Sus scrofa: one gene and its partners. The protein of the gene in region 3 purifies or fractionates together with the protein of the main gene of each other region. This does not show direct contact. Links are inferred from orthologs where the notes say so. Each region holds a gene or a part of one and is shown on either strand. Other genes may lie near its edges. The genes, in order: C1QBP, PRDX1, KRAS and HNRNPA0.

Region 1 (5,446 bases), on a different chromosome or scaffold from region 3:
GAGCGGAACTGCTGGATCATGAGACAGTACCATGCCCACCCAGCCAGAAAATCTGGGGACCCTGTAGCCCTCACACTGGCTGGTTTCTAGGCCAGGTACACCGCTTCCTAAATGTGTGAAGACTGAGCACCATCCAGGTCCAACCAAGGGGGTCGACAATCTAAGGAGAAACCGTGCCAAAGTCTGTGCTGCCTCTGGCTGGTGTGAACTGTCAGCCTGGAGTGTCTCAGGACATTCCTTGCGTGGAAACCCTCCAAATGGTGATCTCGGGTACCAAACGCCTCCTGATCATGAGAAAGGCGAGACAATTTCAGTACCTTTGAAACTACAGAGCCAAAGTCTGCAGCCTACAATTTACTTGGGCCCTGGGAAAGAAAAGGGGCCACAGAGTCCCCGGCTTAAAGCTGGCTAGAAACTAGTGCTTTATAAGAAAAGGCCCAAGGATGACTGTATTTTGCCTTCTCTCCCCTAGCATTAGAGGACGGGAAACAGCAAAAACCAGGGCTCCTTCTCTAAGCCTCCAGAATGGCCTGTCAGAACAAGGTGGCACAAGCTGGTTCCTGTGCTACAAACCTACCTCCTGTTCCTCAACCTTCTGCCCTTCCGACGGCTGCTCCTCCTCCCCATAGGGGGGTGGGATGCTGTTGTTGATGTTGAAGGTGACAGTGATCCTAGAAAAGCCAAAGAAACACAGAATGTACTTTCAACAGAGTAGTTAAGGCGGGTGCCTGCATCCTACCCACAGCTGGATTCAGCAGGTCTGAGGTGGGCCTACTATGTGCTGCCAGACGGCCGTCAAATAGACCCTAGCTCCTAAGACAGTCATGGTTGGGCCCCTTCCATCAGGTCAGCATCCGGGGCTCAGTGCCAACATGTGTCCACAGCCAGCTAACACTGCTGTCCCAGTCTTCCCAGGACACCCTCTGGTGGTGGTGAACAGCTGAGAAGCTGGGGGCAAAGCCTTTAAAAAGCTGTCCTCCATCAGAAAATCTGCCCCTGGGAGGAAGGAAGAAGGCGTCCTGGAGGGTGGTGGCATGAGCTGAGCATGAGGAGCAGCCAGTGAGGGGAGAGCTCCCAGAGAACAGGCTGCAGGACAGGCTCATTCCTCAGGGCAGTTGCGCGAAGTGTTACAATCACAAAGCAGACTGCAAACATCAAGTAGTGACAATTTTAAGTTAAAAGACTCGCCACCTCATGGTACCTCGTTTCAAAGTTTGAATGATAAACAGATTTGGAATGAGCAGTGCTGGGTGGTGTGCCGCAGTGCGCTGTAGTTCTTCTCCGGGCTGTGCTAACCAGCCGCCTTGTCAGTTTGAGGTTTGAGGTTCAGCCATAAAATTTGTCTAATCTGCAACAGTGCTGACTAAGCTGAGCTCCTGGGCACCAAATTGCAGTTACGTTCATTAGAACATTATTTTTACACTGGCCTTAAACTGCCTATGACTTACCCTAGTCAAGTGGTTTAGGCAAAGTTCCAGAATAACACGATGGATTTATGAAGGGGAAACACACTAACTACACCACCAGGTGAAAAAGAACCAGAATCCTACTTCACAGCACAAACAGAAACCTTTGTTCACCCAGAGTGGATCGCGGACTTAGCTTAACCAAGTGGAAGGCTTCCCACCTCTCTAATGATAACCCTTGCCATACCCCATCCTGCCACTTATCTTCTTTTCTCCACTGTAAACACAGTAGGGGCTTTGTTTTCCTAGCCTGTAACTCAGAGATTCTCTCCTACTGTCAGAATTTCTGAATTTGCATGCCTAGATTTAGGAAAGGCGTGGCCTCCCTCACCAGTAAGGGTTTAGTGAATGATGCCTCTACTGGTCCAACAGACTCCCAGCTACTTGGCTTCTTTCTACTTTCTTACTACCTTCTCATTAACCACCACAGCACATCAGTGTGCAGCGGATGAACGGCCTGGAGCTTGTGAAGTTACCAAAACAAGGCCTCTCAGCTCTCAGAAAGTGTCAAAGTACCTGCCTTAACTAAAGGCTGGTTTTTGGTTTTGTTTTTCCTTTCTGGCCACCCCTTGGCATATGGAGTTTCCAGGTCAGGGATCAGATCTGGGCTGCAGTTGTGACCTACACCGCAGCAACCAACTAAAGGCTGTTTGGGGATGACTCAGGGCAGCTCTTGCAGGGTCATGGAGTCCACAGGCCCCAGTACTTACTTTTCTCCAGCAACTTTCCTCACTAATTTGGCTTCTGTCCCATTCACTTCCAGCTCCCAACCTCCAGACATCTTGGGGAGAGACTTATGCTTCTGTATCTTCTTCTCTTCCTTAATCTCATCATTAAGAAATTCAACAAAAGCTTTGTCCCCTGCAATAGAAATCACTTAGTTACAGAAAAAAGAACCAATCAATCTAAAAGAGAAAAATGACCCAGGTTCCTGTAGGCAGAGATCTGGACTTGAGCTATTTCTAATACTTGTACTATTAGTGGCTCTAGGAACTTAGACCAACCCATATCCATTAGGACTCAGTTTCCCCATCTGTAAAAATGCCGTTAAGTTATCAGTAAGAAGTTGAGCTCGATTCTGTAAAAGTGATTCTCAACAATAAACTTCTTACCACTTTTCAAAACAAAGCAAAAGAATTCGTAACTACCCTACTTCTCTTGCTAACTACCATCACCGCTACTTCTACCCGCGACCTTTGGCTTTCACAAAAATCCATTTTCGAGAGACTAAGCTTAAGTATCTCTCCCCTCACGGGCAATCTCGCGTGGGTTTACCCCGCCTTTCGCCGATCAGTGGGAGATTGTTCCCGACCTCGGGCGCGGCTCCGGTCTGTCCACTTGAGATCTAAACTTCCCCGTCCCGGGTCCCCCTGCTCCACCCAGAACCCGGTCCGTTAAGCTCCCGGCCCACGTGCTCGAGTCTCACCTTCGGTGTGCAGCCCGCCGCAGCCGCAGCCGCAGGCGCAGGGCCCCCGAGGCCGTAGGAGGCTGGGCGGCTGCACCGACCCGGCACGCACGCTCAGGAGCCCGAAGGGCCGGGCGCACAGCCGGGACGCGGGCTGCAGCAGCCGCGGGAGCGGCTGGGAGGGCGCGGCGACGCAAAGGCCGGCGACGGCGGTGCCCAGGGCGCGGGGCACGCAGCGTAGCAGTTGCAGCATTTTGGCAGCGGAGGACACGTGTGGATGCGAAAGACGACTCACTCCAAGAAGGACGACTCCTTCTCACCGCGCCCCCTAGTGATAGGACCGCCGCCGGAAGTCCCGCCCCTGCCAGGGAAGCGCTTCCGCGCTGCCTCTTTGCAGACCGAAGACACCGTGGGCGGGATGGCGCCCTCTGCTGGCGGCCTCCGGTGCTGGACTCGCGTAACTAAATTTTCTTTCCGGAGTCGGCTGAGTTCAATTGTCCAGCATCAGTTCTCTCCAGTGGCTGCTGACACACCCTCTAAACTTCCATCTACTCTTCTCAAGCACAGCCAGGTTTTCTATGACTTCGTGGAATGCATTCTTGCCACCCACAACTCCCAAAGACCAGCCTCCGAGGCCATCTCCCTTAGGAAGCCTTCCTGGAGCTTCCTCCTCTTCCTTGAGACACAGGGACTCATGCCTGTGTGACTCGGCCCCTGGGTTTCATTCTTTTCTTGGCAGAAACCTGGCAATACTGGTTTACCTGGAAGCCACCCCTCACTCCCACCAGGCCTGGCGCTCCTAAGGGCAAGGTCCCTGATCAATTCCTGTGACTCCCCAGCTCTCTCCAACTTTACACCTTAATGTTCCAACAGGACATTATTTTTCTGGGGGCAAAAACCTCACAGCTTACATTAGATTTAGATTAAGAAAACTAATCTTCCTACCTTACCAGGGCACGTAAAATACACAGGGTCATCAAGAAAGTAAGTCTTCCCAAATCAGTGGTGAAAATAAAACAATATATTCCTTTTTTTTTTCCTAGGGCTGCTCCCGCGGCATATGGAGGTTCCCAGGCCAGGGGTCCAATCGGAGCTGGAGCCTCCAGCCTACGCCAGAACCACAGCAATGCGGGATCCAAGCCACGTCTGCAGCCTACACAACAGCTCACGGCAACGCCGGATCCTTAACCCACTGAGCAAGGCCAGGGATCGAACCCGCAACCTCATGGTTCCTAGTCGGATTCGTTAACCACTGGGCCACGACGGGAACTCCTAAAACAATATATTCTAAACAACATTTTGTGAATAAAGGAAAGGACACCCAAGAAAGAAGCCACACACATCACGTCACACACATCACGTACAAGATTCACTTATGGTATGCTTTTTTTTTTAAGGTTCACTTTTAATGGATTTAATAGCTGTGTGCAAATTTGAGCATTATATGCAAGAGCTGATGTTTCTATAGTTATGTCTGATCAAGAACAGACTCTCAAAATACAGCACAAACCCGAACTAGATTTTTGGGGGCTTTTTTCTATAAGTTGTAATATTCTGATCAAATACAATTCTTGCTTCCCCATAGATGCACTGTTTCCTTATATGTTCAAGGGGTGGTACCTCAGATGCCTGGTCATAGTTCTACTCATTTCTGGAGAGCTGGATTCAATGGATTCAGACATCACAGTACATAATCAGTTGGATCCACAAAGGAAAAACTTGTCCTCATTCTGGCATCTCTTTACAACAGAGAGGCAACATTAAGTTAGGATTTTTACCAAGAACTGGGTGTTGGCGCTTTTTCCCCTTGTAATGAAATCTGTGCTGCCTTGAAGGCTCCAAGCGCCATGATTACTAGACGCAGGAGGACAAACACCTGCTTGCTGTGCATCTACTGACATGACGCTGCTCCAGGGAGCTAGGGATTCACCCAGATGTGGATTTCACAGGTTTGAAAAAAGGTAGAAAGCACACCATTGGAGAGCTTATTGATTGAAAAGCATAGTTCAAGATTAGATGTGCGACATCATTGGGAAACATTGCACTTTCGTAAGAAAGTTTAAAAGGTATTTATATGTCCCCTGCAGCTCCATATACACAAACGTGTATGTCTTTGTAGTAATATGGAGAGTTGGACTGGCTTTTCCAATCTGATTTATTCCCTGAGCAGCTGTGCTAAAAGTCAACATTTTAAAAAGCCCAATATAAACTACGGTAAAAACTCTACCAGAATGCTGCAGTGATAAACATTGTTCTGTACAGAAACGTAGAAGCTCAGAAGCTCATAGGAATTTACTCCTGCTCAAATAAAAAAATACATATATACACATACACATTTCCAGAAACAGTTCAGGTACTTAAGCTGGACATAAATTATTTTGAGCTAAGTTTTACTTGCCCCAGAGAACACCTCTACATAGTTTGCTGAGGAACATAATAAATCCCTCCACCTCCAATATTTTTTATCAGCATGATGAATGTTTTATCAAAAATATAATATTTTCTTTTACCAAGTCAGGCTAAACATCCTAGGCCTCTATGAAATAAATGAGAAAAATACACTTGAAAATTTTCT
Region 2 (4,868 bases), on a different chromosome or scaffold from region 3:
TGGTCAGTTCAAAGATATCAGCCTATCTGACTACAAAGGTAAAAGTAATTCTCTTCGCTTCAATATATGGAATTATAATACAGTCTAGAGATGGCTTGTTTAACTTCTGAATTTCTTGTCATGTTTGATTGTAAAGTGATTTTTAAAGTCTCTTAGGTCTTCGGGGGTAGGAGGCTGTTGTCTCCTGTGGAGTTGAAGTGGTCCTTATCCTCAGTGGTCAGAGGGTAGATGTCCTGAGTCCCAACCGCTTCATTATGTCTGGACATATTATCTTGATTATCTTCCTGGTACTGCTTTTCAGTCTCTTTATCTTGTTGTAAGATGCCTTCAACAATTTAAAATCTCAGTGCTCAAATAGTGGCAACTATGAGTCTGCCTGTTCAGTTTGTGAAATGCATGTGTCACAATTGCTGTATTATTAGGCAGAGAGCTTAGGCACATTCCTTTGACTACTTTGCCCTCAGAAAAGAGTTGATGTCACAGTTGGAACAGCTCCTTTCTGTTATAGTTTATTGTAGACACCTGGCATTCTCATGAGGCCTTTTTTTTTTTTTTTTTTTAAACCTTGCAATCCTGGAGCAGCAGGGCCTTCTGAGACAATTGAAAATATAGATTCCTTGGAATGCAAATCTGAAACTCAGGTGTCAAGTATACCTTTTGTAGTGGTATAGCAGTCAGTTCCTAGAGTTAGCTTTTGGGTAGATCTTATGACTAGATTTCTTAGCACATCTCACATAGGGGTTGGAACACGAGCAGGTCAGTGGGGCCCTATGGAGGGAGGCTTCTCCTGGCAAACAAAGTAAGTAGCACCTTAGGGAGGTGACCCAGGCCCAAGGGTAAAGCCATGAGGTTTTGGAAGAGCTCCTCTTTGCCCGCCAGGGCTTGACCTGCTGAAGCTTGTTAGGCAGAGCCCTGGAGAAGTTTGTTTAGATGAATGGTGTTAGCTTTCAAAGTGAAGTTCAAAAAGGAACAGCTAGTTATGATTTTCAAGCATTGATGCTATTTGGAAATAAGTGAATATTTGAAATTGTTCCAAACAGCTCAGCCCATTAGGTGTGGTGAGAGGCTGCCTGGCAGGTTGGTAGAGTAACTTTAGTAAAATTCCAGCTAGAAATCCTGTTACCTACTAGGAGAAATTTTTTTTTTTCTTTTTTTTTTAGGGCTACATCTGTGGCATATGGAGGTTCCCAGGCTAGGGGTCCAGTCGGAGTTATAGCCACTGGCCTACGCCACAGCCACAGCAATGCCAGATCCAAGCCGGGTCTGGGACCTACACCACTGCTGATGGCAATGCCGGATTCTTAACAACCCACTGAGCGAGGCCAGGGGTGGAGCCCACATCCTCACGGTTACTAGTCTGGTTATCACTGAGCCGCGTAGGAAATCAACTTAAAAAGGCTTCTTGGGAGTTCCCGTCGTGGCTCAGTGGTTAATGAATCTGACTAGGAACCATGAGGTTTCGGGTTCGATCCCTGGGTTAAGGATGTGGCATTGCCGTGAGCTGTGGTGTAGGTCACAGACGCGGCTTAGATCTTGTGTGGCTGTGGCTGTGGTGTAGTCCGGCTGCTACAGCTCCGATTGGCTCCCTAGCCTGGGAACCTCCATATGCTGCAGGAGCGGTCCTAGAAAAGACACACACACACACAAAAATAAAATGTCTTTAGGTTTTCATTGTCTATGAAGCAAGAAGTCTGTTTCGAAGGCTAATTTGTGGCTCCTTTTTTTTTCCCAGGAAAATACGTGGTGTTCTTCTTTTACCCACTTGACTTCACCTTTGTGTGCCCCACGGAGATCATTGCTTTCAGTGAGAGGGCAGAAGAATTTAAGAAACTCAACTGCCAAGTGATTGGTGCTTCTGTGGATTCTCACTTCTGTCATCTGGCCTGGTAAATCTCTTGGTCCATTTGGCACGTGGACTTTTGAACTGAGCAGTGACCGGGACTGGGCAGCTTTGGCAATAGACTTTCTCAAGTATTGGCCTCTGGCTCCTCATGGAAGGAGTGCAAAGGTGTTTTGACTTCCTCTTGTTGTTCTCTTATTACCTGGCAGCTTGGGTTGAGACTGCATGTACCCTGGTGACTTTAATTGTCCTTAGCTGTTTACTTTGCTGGGAAAAGCATGCAGCGTTTGGGGAGTTAGATTAGGAAGGTTGGAAATGGGAAGGAATAAATACAGTTAATGCTTTTGCTACAGAAGAATTTGAATGAATGTGATTGATTTTTTTGCTTGTAGGATCAACACCCCCAAGAAGCAAGGAGGACTGGGACCCATGAACATTCCCTTGATATCAGACCCCAAGCGCACCATTGCGCAGGACTACGGGGTCTTGAAGGCCGACGAAGGCATCTCATTCAGGTAAAAACCTGCGCGGGAGCTGACTGACAGTCAGCAAGAGAGTCATCTGATTGGCTCAAGGTTTTTATTGGAAAGGTAGAGCCCTGATCTGTAGAGAATTCTGATTTCATTTTTTTCCTGTTTTGTGGAGGGAATTGACGTACATCACTGATCGTTCATGGTCTCATTTCATTCTTTAGGCCTGAGGGCCTAAGGGGAAGGAAGGCCCATGTAAGTGCCAGAGACCACCCCATTTCAGTTTCTGCTCTGCTCTAACAGAGCCGATTCTAAAACTGCCGTCTCCCTCATACCTTGACTGTTTTCTCTCTAGGGGCCTTTTTATCATTGACGATAAAGGTATTCTTCGACAGATCACCATAAATGACCTTCCTGTTGGCCGCTCCGTGGATGAGACTCTGAGACTAGTTCAGGCCTTCCAGTTCACTGATAAACATGGGGAAGGTAAGCCAGGTCGCCTGCTAATAGGACAGCAGAATGGTGGGGTGGGGAGAATGGAAGGAACAAAGTCTACCAGATAAGAAAAGAATTTTTATGTCTCTTTAAGAAATTGCAGTCTTTATGGGGAGTTCCTGTCATGTCATGGCTTAGCAGTTAACGAATCTGACTAGGAATCATGAGGCTGCAGGTTCGATCCCTGGCCTTGCTCAGTGGGTTAAGGATCCGGCATTGCCGTGAGCTGTGGTGTAGGTCGCAGACGCGGCTCGGATCCTGTGTTGCTGTGGCTCTGGCATAGGCTGGTGGCTATAGCCTGGGAACCTCCATATGCCGCGGGAGTGGCCTTGGAAAAGGCAAAGAACAACAAAAAAAGGGCATTTGCAGTCTTTGGATTACTGTGGGTGGGTGTGGTGGGGTAGTGGAAAGGCTTGGGGAGGAGACTGTAAAGGCTTTTTGTTTCAGCTGCGTATTCCCAGCTCCTGCCCTGCTCATTTAGAATCGCTCACTGCTGCTGAGTCAACTTGTTAAAGGAATGTAGGAGCATCTCCTAGGTGTATAAGGGCACAACCAAAAAAGATCGAGACTCCCATCTAGAGAAGTGGGCTGTTCTTGACAGTCGTTTATTGGGAGAAGACCATATTCTTTAGATGATACTTGTTTTATTAGGGTTTTAAACAAGTTTTGAGATTTGGGAAATAAAAATTGGACTAAGATAACTTAACCGAAGACAATAGGCAGATAACAATTAATACTTTCTATCTTCTAAAGAATCCATTCTGTGGTGTGATGTGGTTGCCCTATTTGTAAGAATTGTAGTCACCAAATACCAAATTATATAAATGTTTAATATAAAAGTTATTTTAAAGGAGGAGTTAGGGCTAGGGAGTTTGAAGTGAAATATCAAGATTCTTCATTGTTTCAGGATCAAAGAATGTTTTTGTGGGAGTTCTCTCATGGTCTAGTGGTTACGACTTGGCGTTTTCAGTGCTGTAGCTCTGGTTGTCCTCACATCAAGTTGCCGCATGGCCTGGCAAAAAGCAAAGACCAAGACCAAGAAAAATGGGAGTTCCCAACATGGCTCAGTGTGTTAAGAACCTGATCAGTATCCATGAGGATGTGGGTTTGATCCCTGGTCTTGCTCAGTGGGATAAGGATCCAGCATTGCCATGAGCTGTGGTGTAGGTCAAAGATGTGGCCCAGATCCTTCGTTGCTGTTGTTATGGTGTAGGCTGGTAGCTGCTGCTGCGATTTGACCCCTAGTCTGGGAACTAAAGCATGCCACAGGTGCTCCCCTAAAAAAAAACCAAAAACCCAATAAAAAATCCTCCAAAAACCTAAATATAAAAAAAAATCTCCCCAAAGATAATGTTTTTGTGAGTCTGTCCTTGTAAAATCTGTGACTGAGCAGATTCAATTTGTTTTTTTTTTTTAATGTAGCATTGCTAGAGTGTAGGTCCTCCTTTTCACTGCTCTAGCTCTTTTCTTTTTTTTGTTCTTTTTTTGGCTTTTTGCCTTAGGGTCGCTCCTGAGGCATATGGAGGTTCCCAGGCTAGGGGTCAAATCAGAGCTACAGCTGCCAGCCTATACCACAGCCACAGACAGCAACGCCAGATCTGAGCCGCGTCTGCAACCTTCACCACAGCTCAGGGCAACGCCGGATCTTCAACCCACTGAGCAAGGCCAGGGATCAAACCCACAATCTCATGGTTACTAGTCGGATTCGTTAACCACTGAGCCATGATGGGAACTCTGAGCTCTTTTCTTATATAGTATCATTACCATGTTTTCACAAAGTTTTTTTTTTGTTTTTTTTTTTGCTTTTTAGAGCTGCACCCGTGGCATGTGGAGGTTCCCAGACTAGGGGTTTAATTGGAGCTACAGCTGCCGGCTTACACCAGAGCCACAGAAACACAGAATCCGAGCCGTGTCTGCCATGTACATACACCACAGCTCACGGCAACGCTGTGATCTTTGACCCACTGAGTGAGGCCAGGGATCGAACCTGCAACCTCTCGGTTCCTAGTTGGCTTCGTTTCCGCTGTGCAATGATGGGAACTCCCTTTGTTTTCATAAAGTCT
Region 3 (5,476 bases):
TAGTGAATTGCGGAGAGAATGGAAGTCGATGCACAATAATTAATACAGCATAAGCTGGTTCTAAATTAATGAATGTACAGATGTTGTATATAAGCACTAGATACAAAGGCAGCATCCAATTTACTGAAGACCAAGAATTATCCAAATACGCACTCCACCCTCTACCCTCAAAAAAGTTACATGGTTTTCCACATGATAACATATTAAACACCTCCTCACCCTCTTCTTGAACCCACTCACAAAGAGACAGGCCAAACAACTGTTGTATTACATTAGTGGCACCCTAGCCTGCTCTGTGCCACCTAGCCTTGTCTAGGGCCATTACAAACATGTATCATAATCTGTTTGCTCCCCCATTTTATTCCAAATATTGGCCACAGCAAATGGGATAGGTGAGGATAATCACACCAAAATGTATCCTCTAGCTCCCTGCCTACCTCACCCCACCCCACCTCCATAAGCAAGGATAACCTAGAACAGCAGTTTTCAAAATGTGGTCCAGGAACCCATTAGGGTTCCTAAAACTTCGGGGGAGGGTCCAAGAGGTCAAAAACTGGTTTCCTAATAATGCTATGATGTGATTTACCCTTTCCACTCTTAATCTTTCACAAGCATACCGGAGAATTTTCAAGACGTGTGATCACCACAGACCGTATACAGAAGCAGCTATGAGGATCCAGATGTCTTCTATTAAGCCATATAATTAGAGAGATTTGGAAAGTGTGAAACAATGCCACTCTTTTAATTTTTGTGTTTTGGAAAACAGTTATTTGTCATAAGAAATTCTATTTATGTTATCAAGTAATAGGCTTGTTATTTCCTTTTTAAAAAAATGAATTAATATTTCTTTAATTCTCAATTTTAATTTCTATTATGGTAAATACTGACATATTTCACACTGGGATCCTTCAATAATTTTTAAAAGTGTAAAGGGGTCCAGGTCCTTACAACCAATAAGTTTCCTAGCCTAGGAGAGACAGCAGGCAAATGCTCGGATTAGCGCTTAGCTGTACATACATGTGTGATTTCTGAAAGACACACACACCTTCTGTCACTTCTTCATGCAGTGGTTATTTCTAAAAAGAATCTTTGCTTGGATTTTAAAAATCAGGCAATATTTAAATCCACTAGAGGAGTTCTGTTGTGGCTTAGCTGGTTAAGAATCTAACTAGTATCCATGAGGATGTAGGTCTGATCTCTGGCCTCACTCAGTGGGTTAAGGATCCGGCGTTGTCGTGAGTTGTGGTATAGGTCACATACGTGGCTTGGATCTCTGGCATTGCTGTGGCTGTGGAGTAAGTCAGCAGCTGCAGCTCCAATTTGACCCTTAGCCTGGTAAGTTCCATACGCCATGGGTGCGGCCCTAAAAAGACAATAAATAAATAAGTGAATACATGCATACATACATACATAAATCCACTAGAGACAACTGGGTTCCCATGGAGTTGTACCGAAGACCACAGGCCAGAAGGAGCCCCATCACCCAAAGCTACAAAAGCTAGCACTGGGGAGAACTGGGATCAGAACTGAAAATTTTGTTCAGAAAAAAAATTTCCACTCTTTTCTGTCATAAAACTGAATTATCATTTCATCTATCTTCTAAAACCAAGAACGCCGTGGATGGATACAGTCCCAAAGTAAGCAGTATTGATATTTACCATACTTAATGTCTATAGTCTATTATATATTCAAGTCAGCATTTTGGACCTTAGTCACCTAAGAATGACATCACTCAGAGGGTTGATTCTGAGATGATGATTGCGAACAGACTTTTTCCCTTTGCAATTTCTTTTTTAATGATGTTTTTCCATTACAGATGTAACATACATTGTGTAAAAATTAGAAAATAACTTTCTGTTCTTGACTCCTTGTTTTGACCATATCAAGGTTTGAGAAAGCTAGTTTAGGACTTCAACTATCATGCACATGTCTATAAGTATTTCAGACAGTTAGCTGGCAGATTGCTACAATTAACTCCTCTTGTTAAAAAAAAAAATTGTGAGTGCTGTTTTGGAGGGCTGTAATAACTCCTGAGATGCGGATCAAATTTATAAGCATGAGGTAATCCAGAAGAGATGGGGGAAAGGACAACAACGGGCAAATTAAACTTCAGGTACGATTTTAGCTATCGCTGTCTACACTCCACTAGTAAAGAAAAAGCCCTGCTTCTGCTTTGCGGGTTTTCTGCGTGTGTTTTAACTTGACAAAGCAAATAGACCTTCTGGGATTAACTTTTTCGTTTTCACTAAGTCACAAGCTTTACGTTGTAGGGTGTTGGCCACCTGTTCTTCCACCACCATCACTACCTCCACCTCCTCCTTTGTGGCCACAGCAATGTCACAGCCCATACATGGGGGAGGGGAGCAGTCAGGAACTCAGCTGCAGATGCATTTTTCCAAACACAATAACCTCAAACAGTGGTCTCTAAGCACTTTTCTTTGCGCTTCCAAAACGTGACCTCCCCTATTACTCCCATATCCCCCTACACACGGAAAGGGGCCACTAGCCATCCAGTCTGCGCTCGAGGGAGAAGTTTATACCTCCGTCCGAGAGATGCTAGATGCAGCAGAGAAGGCAGTAACCGAAGCAGCCGAGTGCTGGGAAGGGAGGAAGAGGTGCGGGAGCGAAGGGAGAGACAGAGAGGGAAGGACGACGAGGGGGAGGGGAGGCCGGAGCGCAGCGGGAGTAACCTCCACCGCACCCGACCGCCCCGAGGGGCAGCCCGCCCGGCCCGCGAGTTTCTCCCCGGCCGCCTCCAGCCGCGGCTCTCGGGGAGGAGGAAGGAAGGGGTTCCCCGTCCAGGAAGCAGCACCAGCAGCGGCCGCCTCCAGCCTCACCCTCCTCAGCCCCGCACCGCCCATTCCTCATTCCCCGCGTCGCCGCGTCCCCGCGCCTCCCCCTGCAGACCCCCCCACCCTGCCGGCCCGCCCGCCAGGGCCCCGCGCCCGAGCCCCCTCCCCGCCCCTCCCGGGACCCCTAATTCATTCACTCGCCGCCGGCCCCGCCCGGCGCCGGCGAGGAGGGTCGGGACCCCGGCAGGGGCCAGGAGGGGTGGTCCGCTCCGTACCTCTCTCCCGCACCTGGGAGCCGCCGAGCCTTTGGCCCCCGCCGCCGCCTTCAGTGCCTGCGCCGCGCTAGCTCCCAGTCCGAAATGGCGGGGGCCGGGAGTACTGGCCGAGCCGCCGCCACCGCTGCCGCCGCCGCCACCGCCGCCGCTGCCGCTGTGCCTCCGCCGCCGCGGCCGCCGCCTAGGGAAATCGAGCTCCGAGCTCACCGATGAGTTCGGGGCCAGGCGGCCGCAGAGGGCAGAACTATCGATGCTCTCGGCGCTCGATTCCTCTCCAGACGGGCGTGCGGGGAGGGAGCGGCTGAGGGCGGTGTGGAAAGAGGGTAGAGAGAGTGCCGCCGGGGAGAGGGAGGAGGCGGGGCCCGGCTGGGGAGGGGACGGACCCGGCTGGCGGAGGTGGGGCGGGGGCCCGGCCCGCTGAAGAAGCGGGCGGCAGGGGCGGTGCTGGGTGGCTGCGCGCGGCCGGCGGAGCAAGGTTGTGGGGAGATCTGGGCGGCGCCTGGGCGGGCGAGCGGGCGCGCGTGAGGGGGCACTGGTGGCCCCACGCGGGGCCCGCCCCCAGGCTCCCGCCGCAGCTCATAGCCCGCAGCTGCGGACTCAAGACTCGCGCACCCGGGAGACGCCACGGGGACCCCTGCCGCGCCCCTGTGGGGTCCACTCGGAGAAGCTGCGAAAATCCCACCTCGCCTGGGGTCGGCCTACGCTTGGGCACATTCATTCACTATCATTTACTGCAAGTAAATAAACAAGCAGTATTCGAAAGTGGGAGGCGACGTGGGTGACTTAGAGAGAGACTGGGCCCCCAGTTCCCCAGCCCCCGGCTGTGCGAGCACGCCTTGGAGATTACCATTCTGCACTCTCTGGGACCAGGAACGTACTAGCCCCAGGTCCCAACAAAGCAGCACGTCCTTTCATCACTGTTAAGGGGAGGGGGTCTGATCTTTGTCGCTTTATGAACCTTCTGAAGCCATTACGGGGCACCCTAAACGGCGACCTCAGAGGTACCTATTGCCCCTGATGGCACAAGCAGGAGACAGACTGTTTTTAAATAGAAGTGCCCTTAATAGTCTAGACCTGAGGAGAATCATTCAAACATTAATTAGAAGACAGATTAATAAGTTAACGTTCAGGGAGTTAACACATTAAACAATGGAACAATTAAAACTGCTAGTATGCCCAGTGTCTGCATTGATAAACTACCAAGAAAGGTTTGAGAGGTTGATATACTACCTAGAAAGGTTTGGGAGAGTTTTAAAGACAGAGGCCTGGCAGACCAGCACCTAGACCTAATAGGACCACCCATCTGAATCTCTCTCTGCAGTTCTGTCCCTCTAATCCACATCATAAAACATGAATAAAAGTGTTTTTTTGGGGTGTGGGGGGTTGTCTTTTTAGGGCCAAACCTGTGGCATATGGAAGTTCCCAGGCTAGGGGTAGAATCGCAGCTGTAGCTGCCAGCCTACACCACAGCCACAGCAACAAGAGATCAGAGCTGTGTCTGCCACCTACAGAGCAACACAGGGCAACACTAGATCCCTCAATCGGGGTCAGGGATCAAACCTGGATCCTCATGGATACTAGTTGGGTTCTTAACCTGCTGAGGCACAATGGGAACTCCAAAACAGTTATTTTAAATCCCTACTATTATGTCTGTTAACCTAGGCCTTATACCAACTGCCTCTCTTTTCTTCCTACCCCTTCTGTGGGCTGTACTCTGCAAGGCTGTTTCCTTCCTGGCTCCCTCTCCTAACACCTGGTACCAGGTGGAAGAGGCAGAAGAGAAGTGGAAAACCAGGAAGGGAAAAGAATGCCGCTCTTGGTCTGGTAATTGCTAAATGTTTTGCACAAATCGTCTTATTTAATCATCACAACAGTCTCATGAGGTCAAATATTTTACAGAAGAGGAAACAAATCTAGAAATTGGGCCCAGATTGACACAACTGAAAGGAAGAATCCTTCATGTCAGATTGTGTTCATGCCTCTGTTCCCCCACTGATAGTGGCTCCCATCCTGCTGAACATAAAAGCAAAAATGTTCTCCAGGCCCTATGTAGCCTTCGGTTATTTGACATCCTCTACCCTCTTTCCAGTCTGAGCTTGCATCCTATAGTCCATCTTCCTCACTTCCAGGCATACATGCTGGTTCCAGGCTGACCTTTGAAAATGCATGCAGGCTTCTCCAGGGAATTTGCACTTGTTGCCCCTTTATCTGGGAAAAACTATATATCTACAGAGCTTCCTTCCACACTTATAAATCTCTATTCAGGTGTCTTCTAATGAGTTTCCCAATGGATCATTTGATGTGCATCTCTCCCTTCTCCTCCCAAATCCTATCTCTTCCTGCTTTATTTTCCTCCAGAGCACTTATCACCTTCTAATACACCATATAACTTACTTTGTTATCTTGTCT
Region 4 (5,363 bases), on a different chromosome or scaffold from region 3:
TTAAACTTTGAAAACCCTCCAAAAGGTGGACTATTGCAACTGAACCAGAAAAGTAGATCCTTCTTCTAAAACTGAGTAATAGGCAAGCAGAGTAATAATAAAAAATTTGAGCATATTATTTTCTGTATCTTAGAGCCCCCAACAAGCTAGACCAAATAACCAAATGAAGAAACAGTATGACGCATTTTACTAAGAATAAAAAACAGAAATTTAAGCAAATTGTAAAACCATTTGAGAGCAAGAGTTGACTCTAACTTACTCAATGTGCAAAAACATCTATCCCATTTGCAGTAGAGGAACTTAATATATGAACCAAGCATCAGCTACCCTTTGTCAAAGTGACTGCTTAGCCTTAACTCATCAAGCAATCTTGAAACCTCTCTATCTCTTGAAAGGAGAGCCCTAGCACTGGGTGTGTGTGTGGGGGGGGGAGATTAGCAAGAATTAAATCTTAATATAGTGACAAGAACTAAGAGAAAAAGGGTCAATATACTCCTTTACTTTTTAAAGCTCAATAATCTCCCTTCAGAAAGCTTAATACATATAGCTTTGGGCTTTCAATGCAAAATTCCAAGTATTTTACCGTAACATTAAATCAAATGTAGGTACTAGAATAATAGGTACTTAGAACACACCCACCAGGTTATACATACTCTCACTCGATCATGTAAAGAAATGAATTCTTTATTTGCGATATCCATAAACGTTGCTATTCTATATTTCTATCCAGGAAGGCAATTTTCTCCTATATCATTGTTTTGTTTTGCTTTTTATAAACAACAACTTGAATTCTATTGCATGAAAGGGCTACAAATATACATTTGTTAACCAAGCAGAATACACAGATGTTTTGCTTTACAACTTGCACCTAAGTAAGATACCAGTACACATAGCTGGTTCATTAGTTGTCATAGCAATTTGGGGCCACTGCCCAAGCTATGCATAGCAGTTTACATTTTCAAATCTCATGTAGAAAGGGCAATTGTGATATGGACTGATAACTACATTCCTGGAAAGCCCATCTTAGTTACAAGTAAATACATAACCAAAGTCTGCACAGATCTTCGATGGCAAAACTTCTAAATCTGATGCAACTGTCCTTGTTAAACAAGTTTTTAAACAAATTGTTTTGCAGATATACTGCCATTCTGCCAGTAGATGGTGCTACAAAGGTTGGGGGAAGGATTTCCATGAGGACATTTCAGCTATAGGAAAAAAAAAAACATTTAAACCTGCTCTGAAAATACAAAAATGCATTTAGTTGAGGGTAAAATAGAACCCTTATTTGTAACCATTCATTACAGACAAACCAGTAAAAGGGATGAATCTAGGCCATCTGAAAATTCTCAACAGTTTATATGAATGAAAACACATGCTTAACACAAACTATTTAGAACTACACAGTACATACTTTGAAGTAAATTCTCATAGAAAGAAGTAACCAACCATGTCAAGATGATAAGCAAATCGCTTAGTACAAGAGATGGATGCAGAGAAACTTTAAAGATTTTAAAAAGCCACATCCACCACTTCAAAAGTTTTGCCTGTAAGGGATAAAATTCAACACGTCACTAGCAGTGTAACAGGAAGGAAAAAAAACCCACAGGACCTTTTAAAAGTTTCTCTAAGTACACATCAAGAATTAAGAATTAACACGAAAAATTTTCAACATCCCTTAAAACGGTACGGAATGGATCCTAGGAAAAAAATGTTAGACATGTACGGTCAAACACAATGATTTATTAAAAATAAAACGTAAAAATGATTTTTGTACATATGCTTCCAAATTTCGGGCATGGGATCCAAGTAGATTTCATAGAAAACGCTGTAGCCAGGTATCAAGTCCTTACAACAAAGTAAACTACCCCCCCAACCCCCGCCCAGGTTTTGCTACAGAATCAGCAAGTTCACTCCCTCCCCCCCAAAAAAACACAAATTAAAACAAGACATTTTGCTAGTATAAAAACGACCAAGGTCCAAGTAATAATAAAAAAATAGAGTCCATCAATGACTGTAACACAAAAATGTGTATGTGGGGCCAAGTCCATCTTCAAAGGGAGAGACGAGAGGTGGCAGGCAAATAGGGCAACACCCCCACGGGTAAGCAGCCATACGAGTGGCTCCCCACCAAGGGCAAAATAAGGAAGGTGCTGGGAGGGGAAGGAACTTAGGAGTTGACCCTACTTGGGTGGTTGAAAGAGCTACCCCCATATCCACTCCCACACGTTTAAAATTTTTTAGAAGGAGCTGCCTCCATAGCCACCCCCACCGCCATAGCCGCCTCTGTAAGGTCCACTGTTACTGCGACCGCCCCAGCTGCTGCCTCCGCCGCCGCCGCCGCCGCTCTTCATGGGCCCATAGGAGGACTGGTGCTGGCTGTAGCTGCCGAAGCCGCCGAAGCCGTTACCGTAGTCGCTTCCACCGTAGGACGAGCCGCCGCCGCCGCCTCCGTAGGCGTTGTAGCCGCCGCCGCCGCCGTAACCCCCGTAGCTGTTGTAACCGCCGCCACCGCCCTTAGACAGGCCGTTCTGGTCACGACCGCCGCCGCGACCCCGGCCGCCACGGCCGCCCCGCGAGGACCGCGAGCCGCCTCCGCCCCCACCGGAGTGGATATCCTCCTTGGGGACAGCCTTTTTCACCTCCACGCGATGGCCCTGGATCGGATGGAACTTCACCACCGCGGCCTTATCTGCCGCGTCGTGATTCTGAAAATAGACGAAGCCGAAGCCCCGCTTCTTGCCCGACTGCTTGTCGGCAATAATCTCGGCCTTTTCCACGGTGCCAAACTGCGAGAAGTGCTCGATCAGGTCGCCCTCGGCCACGTCTCCCTTAAGGCCCCCGACAAAGAGCTTCTTCACCTTGGCGTGAGCACCGGGCCGCGCCGAATCCTCCCGGGACACCGCCCGCTTCAGCTCCACCGTGTTGCCGTCCACGGCATGGGGCGAGGCAGCCATGGCGGCATCGGCCTCCTCCACATTGGAGTAGGTCACGAAGCCGAAGCAACGGGAGCGCTTGGTCTGGGGGTTCACCACCACCACGCAGTCTGTCAGGGTCCCAAAGGCCTCAAAGTGGCCGCGCAGGCCCGACTCACTCGTCTGCACGTTGAGGCCGCCTATGAACAGCTTACACAACTGGGAATTCTCCATCTCCACGGCCCGGGCCTTCCCCCCGCCCTGCGAGCTCCGAGGTTTCGCCGTCGCCGTTATCGTTGGCTAAGGCCTCTTCACAGCTTGGGCCCAGCCGTTGCTGGAGCCGCCCCCGCCGGCCACCGACGGGGAAGGGAAGAAGGGGAGGGAAGGGAAAGAGGAAGAGAGGAAGGGGGAGGGAAGGGGAGAGGTGCCGGTTAGAGGGCGAGCGGAGGAGACTGGAAGACAACCGAGACCGCCGCTACCGCCGCCACTACCTCCGCTCCCCTATCTGGGCACCACACAAAGAGGCCGCTGAACGCGCGCGCACCCTCCCCGAGGCGTGCGTCACCGCCGACGTACGGCAGCCCAGGGCTGCTCGCCAATCCCCGCCTCGCACTCATTAGTCCCGCCTACCGTACCGCAGCGCCGCTCTTGATCACTGACTCCCCGCCCTCCGCGGTCTATTCAAGCCCTCGGCCTGTGCTGCTGCCGCCGCCGCCTCTACCTCCCGCTTTCACTCTCGGGATCCCCAGTGCGCCCTGACTACGGACTCTCGCTGCCCTTCGCGAACGTCCGTGATTCATTCGTTCCCTGCTCCGCGGCTGTTCCCAGTGATTTTTCCCCCTCCCCTTGCCGTATCCCCTCGCCCAACTCCGCAGTGGCGTTCGCGCCAGCCCCTTGAGAGACGTGTCGGTTCAGCCAATCACCGCGACCCGCTCGCACTCACTTCCGTTTTCGGCAGCCGCCGGATGGGCGCGCTCCCCAATGCGCGCTGGCCCCCGCGCTCCCCGTGTGCGGAGTTTGCTTGCAACCCCCACGCCTCCTCCCGCCTTGGACCTGCCACGGCGGGTGGGGGGCGGGAGGGTTGATCGGGGACGCGCTGGGGGCTGTTCCCAACGGATGCCACCTGGGGCGGCACGCGCGGGCTTTTTGAAAACTTGACTGTTGGGGTTGGGGGCCTGGTTTTACCCGCCCGATTTCGCCTGGCCGCTACACCTGGCGTCCTCGCCCCTCCCGTCCGCACAAAGATGGAGGGGAGAGGCCTAGTTGGGGAAGGCGGTTATTAACCGTTTCTAGGGGCCCCAGGCGCGATGAGACTAAAACACTGGCACGTGGCCCTGCGGGAAGGCGAGCCCGAGGCCGAGGACAGCGGCAGGCCGAAAACACTTCAGACTTTCCTACCGAGGCGCAGCGCGAGACCCCCGCCACCCTGAGGCCCTCCGTGAGGCCGTCCCGCGACGCCCCTCAGCCTACCTTCACGCACTCCTCCGTCAGCGGACATGTTCATTTTAGCCCAGTGTACACATCATCTTAATGTTTACGTCTTCTCTGCGTGCTTCCTTCCCAACTGAATCGTTAGCATTTTAAAGACGTTTTCAGTGGGACTGGGAGCGGAGGGAGAAACACATGCACACTGCGTAAAAGTATGCACCCTGGAAAACTGCCTTCAGGGCTCAGATGGGAATGCAAGAAAGTTAGAATGGCTCCCATTTATTGACCCTTTAGTGTGCCAACAAGATACGAGCAGTGGGACACAGTGTAAGACTAATTATATGATCAAGAACCCCAAACCATGTGGCTAATAAGAACAGGAATTCCTTACTGTATCCTGGAAAGGGATGTATTCAGGAATGATTTGTTAAAAGAGGTACAAGTTGCACTGGATCACAGAGTGAAGGGCTGGATAAGATTTCTATAGGGAGTTTATCTCAACAAAATCTGGAGGAAAGTTATAAGATACATATGCTCCCAGGGGCAGTTTAACTGGATCAGGTTTCTGATAGAAAAGTAAGATAGGCTGAGGGTCTTGATATTAGGGAATGTCTTGAAATTTAAAGAATATGAATATTATTAAAGGCATATAGATAGGCTGCAAAGTCTGAGGGCAAACTATAGCCTGGTTCTACCACCTATTAACCACTGAGTTGTGTGACTTTGGCCAAGTCACCTAACCTTTTAAAAATTAAATTGAGTTTTAATATCTCAAAATCAGAACATAAAACACCTAGCCAGTATGGTAAAATTTAAATGGGATTCTGCATGTAATGCAAAGCATAATGCCTGACACATAGTAAGTGCTCAATTTATCCAATAAATACCGAATGATGGGAATACTGTAGTAAACAACAGGCAAAAATCTCTCCTCGGGGAGCTTACATTCTTGTGGGGAGAAGCTGACAGTAAATAAGAATTATATACAGCATGTTAGATATTGGTAAGTGTCACTGAAAAAAA

What was found.
Region 1: the proteins of KRAS (region 3) and C1QBP purify together in Homo sapiens (affinity purification with mass spectrometry; 3 studies listed by BioGRID and IntAct, with this or other methods). This does not show direct contact. The link is inferred for Sus scrofa from reciprocal best matches to the Homo sapiens genes KRAS and C1QBP.
Region 2: the proteins of KRAS (region 3) and PRDX1 purify together in Homo sapiens (affinity purification with mass spectrometry; 3 studies listed by BioGRID and IntAct, with this or other methods). This does not show direct contact. The link is inferred for Sus scrofa from reciprocal best matches to the Homo sapiens genes KRAS and PRDX1.
Region 4: the proteins of KRAS (region 3) and HNRNPA0 purify together in Homo sapiens (affinity purification with mass spectrometry; 3 studies listed by BioGRID and IntAct, with this or other methods). This does not show direct contact. The link is inferred for Sus scrofa from reciprocal best matches to the Homo sapiens genes KRAS and HNRNPA0.

The regions. Positions count from the first base shown.
Region 1 is NC_010454.4:51,546,144-51,551,589, reverse strand, and holds the start of C1QBP (complement component 1 Q subcomponent-binding protein, mitochondrial), read right to left. Parts: upstream 3,230-5,446; 5' UTR 3,125-3,229; coding exon 2,893-3,124; intron 2,328-2,892; coding exon 2,177-2,327; intron 672-2,176; coding exon 578-671; intron 1-577.
Region 2 is NC_010448.4:165,849,669-165,854,536, forward strand, and holds part of PRDX1 (peroxiredoxin-1), read left to right. Parts: coding exon 1-38; intron 39-1,732; coding exon 1,733-1,886; intron 1,887-2,232; coding exon 2,233-2,355; intron 2,356-2,665; coding exon 2,666-2,796; intron 2,797-4,868. UniProt on the Homo sapiens protein: Thiol-specific peroxidase that catalyzes the reduction of hydrogen peroxide and organic hydroperoxides to water and alcohols, respectively.
Region 3 is NC_010447.5:48,506,573-48,512,048, reverse strand, and holds the start of KRAS (GTPase KRas), read right to left. Parts: upstream 3,227-5,476; 5' UTR 3,068-3,226; intron 1-3,067. UniProt on the Homo sapiens protein: Ras proteins bind GDP/GTP and possess intrinsic GTPase activity. Plays an important role in the regulation of cell proliferation.
Region 4 is NC_010444.4:139,779,199-139,784,561, forward strand, and holds HNRNPA0 (heterogeneous nuclear ribonucleoprotein A0), read right to left. Parts: upstream 3,819-5,363; 5' UTR 3,147-3,818; coding exon 2,238-3,146; 3' UTR 667-2,237; downstream 1-666. UniProt on the Homo sapiens protein: mRNA-binding component of ribonucleosomes. Specifically binds AU-rich element (ARE)-containing mRNAs. Involved in post-transcriptional regulation of cytokines mRNAs.